Linked DNA regions of Drosophila melanogaster. The protein of the gene in region 1 purifies or fractionates together with the protein of each later gene. This does not show direct contact. Each region holds a gene or a part of one and is shown on either strand. Other genes may lie near its edges. The genes, in order: PCNA and SuUR.

What was found.
Region 2: the proteins of PCNA (region 1) and SuUR purify together in Drosophila melanogaster (affinity purification with western blotting; one study listed by BioGRID). This does not show direct contact.

Annotation. Positions count from the first base shown.
Region 1 is NT_033778.4:20,261,021-20,264,836, reverse strand, and holds PCNA (proliferating cell nuclear antigen), read left to right. Parts: upstream 1-1,953; 5' UTR 1,954-2,115; coding exon 2,116-2,223; intron 2,224-2,283; coding exon 2,284-2,958; 3' UTR 2,959-3,083; downstream 3,084-3,816. Other genes in the region: RpS18 (ribosomal protein S18), read right to left, coding at 75-344, 405-590, 727-729; plu (plutonium), read left to right, coding at 1,176-1,191, 1,249-1,653, 1,708-1,811. UniProt on the Drosophila melanogaster protein: Likely to be an auxiliary protein of DNA polymerase delta complex and is probably involved in the control of DNA replication and repair by increasing the polymerase's processibility.
Region 2 is NT_037436.4:11,062,992-11,069,525, reverse strand, and holds SuUR (suppressor of Under-Replication), read right to left. Parts: upstream 4,536-6,534; 5' UTR 4,359-4,535; coding exon of another isoform or gene 4,152-4,358; 5' UTR 4,132-4,151; coding exon 3,804-4,131; intron 3,697-3,803; coding exon 3,497-3,696; intron 3,431-3,496; coding exon 3,252-3,430; intron 3,166-3,251; coding exon 984-3,165; 3' UTR 501-983; downstream 1-500. Other genes in the region: CG6310 (uncharacterized protein), read left to right, coding at 1-158, 220-395; CG45101 (uncharacterized protein), read right to left, coding at 4,152-4,358; CG32075 (uncharacterized protein), read left to right, coding at 4,866-5,005, 5,065-6,064, 6,125-6,339, 6,403-6,534.

The DNA.
Region 1 (3,816 bases):
TTCTTTTATTTTGTGGTTGATGTGAAAATTAAAGTCGAATCGGAAATCCGTTCCGGCAGGGAACGCTGCTAAGCTTACTTCTTCTTGGACACACCCACGGTGCGACCACGACGACCGGTGGTCTTGGTGTGCTGGCCACGCACACGGAGGCCCCAGTAGTGACGCAGACCACGGTGGGAGCGGATCTTCTTCAGACGCTCCAGATCGTCACGCAGCTTCGAGTCCAAGTTGGAGGAGGTCAGCTGCCAGTACTTGCCATCGATGATGTCCTTCTGCCTGTTGAGGAACCAGTTGGGCACCTTGTACTGCAGAGGGTTCGAGATGATGGTCACCACCTTGTCGACCTGCAAACATGGCATTTAGGTTGGTGTGCGTCTCGAACGGATTGGGCGTGCTCAACTTACCTCCTCCTCGGTGCACTCACCGGCGCGCTTGGTAAGATCGACATCGGCCTTCTTCAGCACAATGTTGGAGTAGCGGCGACCCACTCCCTTGATGGCGGTCATGGCGATGCCAACCTTGCGCTTGCCGTCGATGTTCGTATTCATGATACGCAGGATGTGCTGGAACTTCTCTGGGATGACGAGCGACTGCAAGAATGCAAAGAAAAAACATTAGTATAATGCATATAAACCACGCCATTTTTGCCAACAGCTAACGGCATTTGCAATTCACTATAAATTTGTCGTTTGGCGCTCAGAATCGCACATATTTGAGGTAACTCACCATTTTGCCGTTTGTATTCTCGTATTTACTCCTCACTGTAAAGAATTAAGAGGTATTTTGTTTTAGAATTTTGGAAAAATCAAATGGGCAGCACACCACTCACCGGAAACGGGAAAAGAAAAGAAGGCCGAATTAATGTGGCTGCCTGAGGCGGAGTAAAAAACCTAAAATTGCCTGCCACGTTCGGGACGCGTGCTGTTAATAGTTCGCCGTGTGCTGTTAGGCGCACTCTGGTCCATCACTAATGCAAATTTAAAAATTCAAAAGGCGCCGAACTTTTGTTCAATGAAAATGCTTAAAGTGCCATTTAGATATGCTCTGTGTGCACATTTAAAAAATTAAACTTCATATTTTATGTTTCTTTATATTTTATATTTTATTCCCCACATTTCGTAATACGTTTTATCGTACTGCATCCCTAGAGCACCGTTATATGAAAGCTTTTCAGAATGGGTGAAATAAATGGTAAATTATATTAGCTATGCGAATTTCCAATATTGATAAAAATGCATTGCATTTAAGCACTCAGCTGCGTTGGACAGGACGATGTCGTTTCCCTGCGCATCGTGTGCACCATGGCTCGCGACGGCAAGCAGCACAACCTCGAGGATGTGGACATGTACGGGAATACCGCCCTATTGAAGGCCTGCTATTTGGGTCGATTTGAGTGCGCTCGTACGCTGCTGGAATTCGGTGCAAATATCTTTGCTATGAACTATTTTGGTCAAAATGCCCTGACACTGGCCACTTATGCTGGGCATTTGACTTTAGTAAAGGAACTGTTGAGGCGAAGATCCTACAAGGATTTCAATCTGTCCTCGATGATCCCGGCCCTCTGTGTGGCTACACTGCAAAAACACTCCGCTTTGGTGGCCTATTTTACTCAATTGGATTCGAGGGGCGTGCAAGAAACTCAAACAGTGCATGGTTAGTAAAAATCAAGTGTATTTATATAGTAACATTAAAGTAAATTTATTTCAGGTCTGGGAGTTGCAGAGCTGCGAGGAATGATTAAAGCTGCAGGCCGCTTAGATAAGCGCAATGTGCGCTCTCCTCCCACTTTTATTAGCAATCGTCTGCGTTAATGTATTGTCATTTTGTAATAATTTATTAATTTTAATGTTTGAAATAAATATACTCTGTAAAAAGTGTGAACATAATATGTTAATCAAACCAGTTGGCAGGCCGCTCGCTGGCTGCTATCGATAGATTCAGTCGATATCGCCCGTGGCTTTTCACATCCCTATCCCGCTCATTTAGCCCGCCTGAAAGTAAAAAAAAAAAACAGCCCACGTTAATCATTCATCCCAAAGTCACAGCCGCGGTAACATTACTGCTGTTAAATTCTTAAGCCCGTCATCAGTATTTAAATAATAAAACACATTCAATATGTTCGAGGCACGCCTGGGTCAAGCCACCATCCTGAAGAAGATCTTGGATGCCATCAAGGATCTGCTCAATGAGGCAACCTTCGATTGCAGCGACTCCGGCATTCAGGTAAAAATTGCACAAAAAAGATTTTAAATGCATATCCCTAACACCTTGTTCAACTTACAGCTACAGGCCATGGACAACTCCCATGTGTCGCTTGTCTCGCTGACCCTGCGTTCCGATGGCTTCGACAAGTTTCGCTGCGACCGCAATCTCTCCATGGGCATGAATCTGGGCAGCATGGCCAAGATTCTGAAATGCGCCAACAACGAGGACAATGTGACGATGAAGGCGCAGGATAACGCCGACACTGTCACCATCATGTTCGAATCGGCTAACCAGGAGAAGGTATCGGACTACGAGATGAAACTGATGAACCTCGACCAGGAGCACCTGGGCATACCGGAGACAGACTTCTCGTGCGTGGTCCGCATGCCGGCCATGGAGTTCGCTCGCATCTGCCGCGATCTGGCGCAGTTCAGCGAATCCGTTGTGATCTGCTGCACCAAGGAGGGCGTCAAGTTCTCGGCCAGCGGCGATGTGGGCACCGCCAACATTAAGCTAGCCCAAACCGGCTCTGTCGACAAGGAGGAGGAGGCGGTGATCATCGAGATGCAGGAGCCGGTGACGCTGACATTTGCCTGTCGCTACCTGAACGCCTTCACAAAGGCGACGCCATTGTCCACCCAAGTGCAGCTGTCGATGTGCGCAGATGTTCCGCTGGTAGTCGAGTATGCGATCAAGGATCTGGGTCACATTCGCTACTACCTGGCACCCAAGATCGAGGACAACGAGACATAAGTCAGCTGTGTTCCTCATATTTATGTCCCCGCATCGTCACCACTCATCTTCCCACGTTCACTTCATTCCTAACTTTTAAGTAAATCCGCATTTTTTGATCAATAAAAGCTATACTGTGTAATGTTAACTGGCTGAGTTGTACAATTGATTTTAGGGCGTAATAACCATTTATTCGCATTCCATATATAACACTGGGTATCGTTTAAGGAGAGAGAGATTGCAAACATATACATATTAAGAGTAGTGGTTTATCAAACACCTTGGCGTGGGATAGACAAAAAACCTTGGCATATCTCCGACATTGAAGTTTGTTAGCCTCCGCAGCTGCAGAAAATCTGGACATACCATTGGGGAGTTCTAAATCAAGGGTAATAATGGGCGATTATTCTATTCACTGTGTATAAGTACTCGTTCCGTATGAGGCACATAGTCGGGAGTTTTGCAACAAAGAGCTTTAAGCGAGTGTGTGCCTGCATTCAAGAGCATTAATCGTATGTAAATACATGTAATAAATAATGCGTGTTTACACGCTTCCAATACTTGCATACTTGGCTTGCTTATGCTAGAAGCTACATACATACGTATCCTATACTTAGTTTGTGAGTATATAAAACATAGAAAGCTGTGTCATATAAAATTGTATAAAAAAAACCTTTGAGATTACATATACGTAGTAATAAAAAGCAAGAAAGTGCGTATAACAATGAACAATTCAAATTGTTCCTGCGCATAACAAAATTCGATTTACACGCCTATGTGAGTGGAGAAATGGCCAATGGGGGTATAAATGCAGGTGACAAAATTTTACAGTGATTGTGAAATCCCATTGCCACTTACAATCTGCCATTGGTTAATATT
Region 2 (6,534 bases), on another chromosome or scaffold:
CACGGTGCAGTACACAGAGCGACTATCCCATTGGCCATACTGGCTGAATACGGCTACGGCCAAGTACGTGGTCACCAAGTCATTACCCGGAGTATCGCCCGTGGCCTATGCCATTAAGTCCACGCATCAGACTTGCTTCTTTGCCGGATTCTATTGCCGTAAGATAAGACGGAAGTGATATGAATGCCCTCGCTAATCGTAAATGAATCTCTATTGCAGTACAATCACTGAGTGAATTCACGTTCAGAAACTCCAATGGTGATACCTTTGCCCAGGAGAACATCCAGTATCAGTGTCCACCACTCTTGGGCGGCATGTGTAGGCGGGAACTGGAGTTCCAGCGCCAGGCGGTGATGCACAACTTAACGATAATATTCGGAAAACAGAGAGGATAGCATACCAGGATCTAGTTCAAATTTAAATCATATGTGCAAACAACTAATTGACTTACCTACCAATAATCTTAATTCCTAATAAAAAAAAAACACACACAATACTTTGTTTTTAAATGTAAACCCTGTGTTTATTTAACGATGATACAAAATTACACGGTACTTGCTTCTAAAAACGATATCTTTCGTTACTTTAAAATTGTTGAATACACTTTGAATGCGTATTGAAATAATTTAAAAAAAAAAAAACACGTCTAAATCAGGTGGCACATTTTGGAAAATGAATTGAGAAACTAGATAAACTTGTGAACTAATAATTTACCAATTATATCTACTTACAAGATACGCATACAATATTATGCAGTGTCTTTTCAATTTTATGGTAACCTTACTCTTCAAAATGCGCACACAAAGTATAATTTTAACTAAATTAGCTAGACGGTCCTGTGCAATTTGATTTTACAACCTCATATTTGGATGCTGTTAACTTTTGATTTCGTACTATATGTTATATATTCCTTCATTCATTATATATTCAATAATTGGATTTGATTTGATTTGGTTTTTGTCATTTTCATTGATTGCTGTTCATCACTTGAACAGTTCCAATCGCTTTCTTTTGGTCGGTCCTGATGCTCCACCACTTCTCGCCGATCGCGTTTGACAAGCTGCTGCACTTGTGGATGAATTCACCGGCGTACTTGGTGCACTAACCGATTCCACGGAGCTGGTCTGTGAGGCTCCACCGCCGAAGACGGAGCCAAACCAGCGTGTTAGTTTCGTGGCCTGAGTGGATTTAGCACCCTGTTTGGGAGATTTGGGTGACTTGCGCAGCGATGCAAGAATGGAATTGCGATTACCATTCGAAGGTTGCGTTCGCTCCTGCGTAATTCCAGAACCTATCAAATAATTGGTGATTTTATTGGCCTGCGACGGCCTGACGGACTGTTGATCCGGTTGCACGGGCGATACTTCGCCAGAGGAGTTCAATCGCATGCGACTGCCAAATTGGCCATTGTTCGTTATCTCAAAGAAGTCATCTTCCAGCAGGGTTCTTCTTCTCTGCGTAATGGTAGACTCTGCATCATCCTTCTGGGTCAGTGGCAAGGTTGGCAAGACTTTGGGACTAGTTTTAGCCGACTGCTGTTGTCGTGGCTCGAACATTTGCTCCAGGATATCCAAACACGAGCGATCTCGCTTCTTTTTTGGCACCGATATATTTACTTTCGCTAGCTGCTGCTGAAACTGCTTCACCTCAGAGCCAAAGATCTTAAAGCCTTCGAAGGGCGATGAGGGTCTTGGTTGCGCCAGCGGAATCTGCGAGTGTTCCGAGGATATGCTAAATAGATCTGGAGATTTGTTGGCACTCCTCTTGGCCGGTGGTAGACCCAATCCGCCGCCGAAACTTGAATTGACGGACGTCACGGGTTTGCGTTTTCTTTTCAAAGCCTTGGTGCGACGACTCTGCGATGGATCCTGCGGAGAACACTCATCGTGCGAGCTATTGATCACCACTGTCTCAACTGGATCTTTGTAAAGCGGAATAGACACCACCTCAGAATCGTTGAGCAAATTGTGTGTAGACGGCAAGGTTAGAAGCATTGGAGTTTGTTGAGGTGTAAAGGGCACACGAAAAGCGGGCGACTCAATGGCATCCAAATTGTCTGGTATTCGCTGAGCACATTGCATGTACTCCGAGGACAACGAGCTACCACTGAGAACTTGAGGAGTAGGTGGCAAGTGCTTTGAATTCGGCTTAGTCTTTGTCTTCCCCAAATCTTCAGTCTTGGTTTGGCATTTTCTCGGACGTCCAGGCTTTCGTTTCGCAGTTCCTTGAGCAGGTACATCCACCGTCTTCTGTTTCTTTTCCTGCCCGACTTTAGACTTAGGCTCCTGCTTCACTATTTGTTTGCTACTTCTGGGCGTTTGGTTACCCTCCAACTTGACTCTCCTTGGAAAGCTACGCTTGACATCATCCAATGAGCGATGTTTCAAGTACTTACTGTTTATTTTTGTTTCAGCGGATCGTGTTAGGCGCTGCATTCCCCTTGTGGCTGGACGACCCACATCCACTGGGCTCACCGTGCGCTTTTTCAGATTTTTTCTTCTAGCTGTGGGCTCCGTTTTGGGCGTTACGATCGCAGTAGTGGTTCTGGACGGTGGTGGTGTGCTCAGAGTATCGAGGGAAACCCTTAAAATTCGAACATTGAGTCTCCTTGTCTTAGGTGTCAGATGAACGGTGGCTGCACGAGTTCTCTTCCTTGGCGGCATATTATCGGTCGCTTCATCATCCTCTTCGGAATCGGTGAGATCAGCTTTTTTGCGCGGTGACGTTTTTTTGCTAAATTTTTTCTTTGATTTCGTCCTTGGTGATTCATTTAATGAGGGCGTTCGATTTTGCGGAGTACTTGGAGGTGTTACAATCTCACAATCATCGCTGGATACAACTAATACCGGGTTTTGATCTGCATCAGGTTCTACTGTTAGGGGTTCATCGTCAGACTCGGAATACTCGAATATCAGCGGTGACATTGCCACATCATCCACGCTGTGCTCGGATAACCTATCCGTTTCTTCAAAGAGCCCAGTTTTATTTTGCTGAGCCGGATTGTTGTCTATGGAAGCGATTGTAGAGCACACATCTGAGCCGCTTATTGTGCTCTGGCTGTTCTTTGAGGCCAACCAGAGATTCAGATTGTGTTTGTATTGCTCCGGTGCGACAAGTGGCAGTGACTTGTCGAATTGATGACGAAAACGACGCAGACGAAAGTCCCTACAAATTATATAAGTTATTTTCATATGCAACTGACTATTCCGGTCTTATGCAACAGTGAAACTGATCGTTGCTGGTTCACCTACTTGATGTACTCGCTGAGGAATCCCCGCTGCTTGTAGTATTCCTCGAGATCTATGCGCTTACTGAATACCTCCTTCGGATCTGGCAGATGGAATTTTCGATCGAAGCTCGCAAAGCTTTTGTACTGATGCTCCAGTCGGCCGCCCAACCGTAGAACATTGTAGAGCAACCTAACGTCGGACTGCAGAGAGAGAGAAACCACATAAGCTAAAATGATATAAACCATATTATGAATGCATTGCCTCACCGTAACGTCAACACTGGAGATAAGAACGTTTACCCGTCCCTCGAATTGCTTCAGCAGCATGGAAGTGCAAAAGCTGTTGTTCAGCGAATGCCCCCGATTATCCACCATAATGTAGTCGAACTTGAGGCGACTGAGATCTCCAATGCTCCGTAGTTGGCTCCATTTCGCCAGGTAAACGCTGTGCGGGGAGTCGGTGGTATCTGTAAAGGCAGAAAGTGAAGGTGTTGAAGTTTAATTTTTAAATGGCAATAATGTGAAATTACGATAACATTCTTATCAACAAATCCATTTAAATATTAGGCATTACCTTGCACCCCCTGAATGATGTACACCTGGAGGTCAGTGAGAGTGTCCAAATGGAATCGCCAACCGGTGAGCAGTTGCTCATCGTTCTGGAGCACCACAAGTGTTTTTTTGGCGGGTGGTAGGGCACTTAGAAGTGCCGCCACCGTAGCGACCTTTCCAAGGCCACTCTCATCATTCAGGATGCAGAATTCCCGCTTAGCCAAACGATCGTAGACGAAGCGGACGGCATCCAGTTGAAAGCTCTTGAGGTACTGCGTCACGTGGCTCGTGACCAGTGCCTCATCTGTGAGCCGCACCTCCGGCGTTTGCTCGGATACAAAGTGATACATGATCCTTCAGAGAATTCGAATCAATGGTGTGCGTGATGCAGGGCCAGATAGATGGCAACCAGGATGTAGAATAGTTGCAGGTACGAGAAGATCACGAACATCGAAAATGAACCAATTATCATCTTTCGCGCCGCAGACGGCCCATCGAATTCGATATTCTCCGGATGCAGTATGTCCACCACGTTGTAGTTGTTGTTGATGATAACAGGATGTTGGATCTCGTACATGTGTTGAAACTAGTTAAGCTTCAATTTTTTCGGAGGACAATTTTCGTCCCTTTTGGGAAATTGGGTTAAGCGCTGTTAGTCATGGCGGGGGCGCGGGAAAAGGCTTAACAATCGAACAAGAAGAAAATATTATTTTTGGCTCCAATTCTATTTCACCATTCACACAGAACCGGCTGCGTCTTGTTGGCGCGATCAGCTGTTGGACGTTGGTAGTGTTGGCAAACGAAGCAATGTCTAGAAATAGCCAAAAGAGATACTGCTCTTGATTAATAGCAAAATATTAAAAAAAACTTACTGAACCGACAAGGATTAGTAAAATACATTAGGTTGGAAACCTTTGGCGAGTAAAATGTTTTTAAATTAAATTATTTATTCTGCCAACTCAAAACTTGTGTAAGGAATTCATTTTTATAGCTGCATTTAGCTCATCACTGTTGCAACTGTTGTGATTTCGTTTGCGGTTTGTTTCGCATGGAATTTGTTTAAATTTATTCAGACCAAATTGCCATGGCTGTTGCAAAGAAGGAAAAATTTGAGGCAAAAAAGAAAAGCCCTGAAAAGGGAAAACAGCAGAAAGCCAAAGTTGTTCCTGTCACACCGCCACCAAATGTAAAACAACGAACTGTGGTCACTCCTTGGCGAGACACGTGCGTAGACAAAAAGTGGAAACAAATCCAATCCGTTGATAAAAACATTACATTTTCAGGCTGGAATTTAATACAACGTACAAATGGTTGTTTGGCAAGTCCAACACACCAGCCACATGGCGTCAAGCGCTCAGTAAAATCCGCATTTGGTGTCTGCGAAGAGGAAGTCTCTGCCCGGCAGCGGTTTTGGCCACATCGGTGCTTGTTCAGGCGCACTTGGAGGACCAGGAGGGCAGCGCCAAAATACAGGACACCTATGCCAGTGCCTTTACACGATTCTACAACTTTATGTCCTCCATTATCCAGGGACACAACATGTCCAGCATGTATGAAACGGCCAAGGAACTGGGCCTCCAGTCGTTCATCGTTGATCTGCGCCACTTGTGCGCCCATGGACAGGAGCTGCCGCCTGTGGAGGTGCTGAGAAACACCTCGAATCATTGTCTGGAGTGGCTGCGCACCTACTACTGGTTGCCACACATGGAAACCATGTCCAATTTGGATGCTGGCAAACTGCATCGCAAGGACAAGCTTAAGTTTGAAAAGGCTGTGACAGATCTTCTGGAGATCTACGATCTAACCCTGGAGTGCCATATCAAGGGGGCTGAGAAACTAAAGGCCATTAGCAAGCTAAAATCCAGTGGTGAATTCAATAAGATACGAGTCTACTCCTCCAGCAAGAAGGCGAAGACATCGAAAGAAATTCTGAGTGCTGTGTTAGGTGATCTAAGTGCGTTGGTCAAAAAGGAGTCATCATCGATGAAGGATCTGCTGGACATATATACAAAATGCCTGCTTAAAATGAAATACTTCCTTGGCGTTGGCTTGGAAATCGACGACAACGAGGATGTCATCATTGCAGCCACACAGGGACTCTTCCGTCTATTGGCCGTGCAGGGATATATCGAGAAGGTTTTTTTGGCCCTAGTTCAACTGAGTGAAAACCAAAACGAGTCGGAGCAAAGGCGTCTGGGAGCCAGCTACTGGGCAAAGAAAATGTTGGAAACATTTGGGATGCTGTTCCGTATGAAGCGCATGTACAAAGCCGAACTGGATTTGGTTAGTATAAATACGGAGTGTGTTAACGATGAAAACACTAAAATATTCTTTATTTTCCAGAACGATAAACTAAAACCAGCGGACTTTGCCACCCTAAACACGGATAAAATTTCTAAGACAATGCGCAGTCTGTTAGTACACTCAAATGCCGATCTCTCGGTTACCCTTATTTTTGGCGACAATCCCAAAAAGTCCAGGTCTTTGATTTTTGATCGTGATTTTATTATGCAGCGTGTTGATGCATTTAGCAATTACTCAGCGCCCATTCTAAAAGGGTAGGTATACATTTTTTTTTGGGTTTACTTGCTTTTGGATTAATAAGATTGACATTTTCTTAGATTATTACCGCTCGCAGATCCTCCATACACCAAGACGCAAATTGAGGATTTAACTAAACTCTGCGATGCACAGCTTGAAGAATTTTATGAAGAGGAAGCTATGGAAGAAGATAGCTCTTCAGAGGAGAGCAA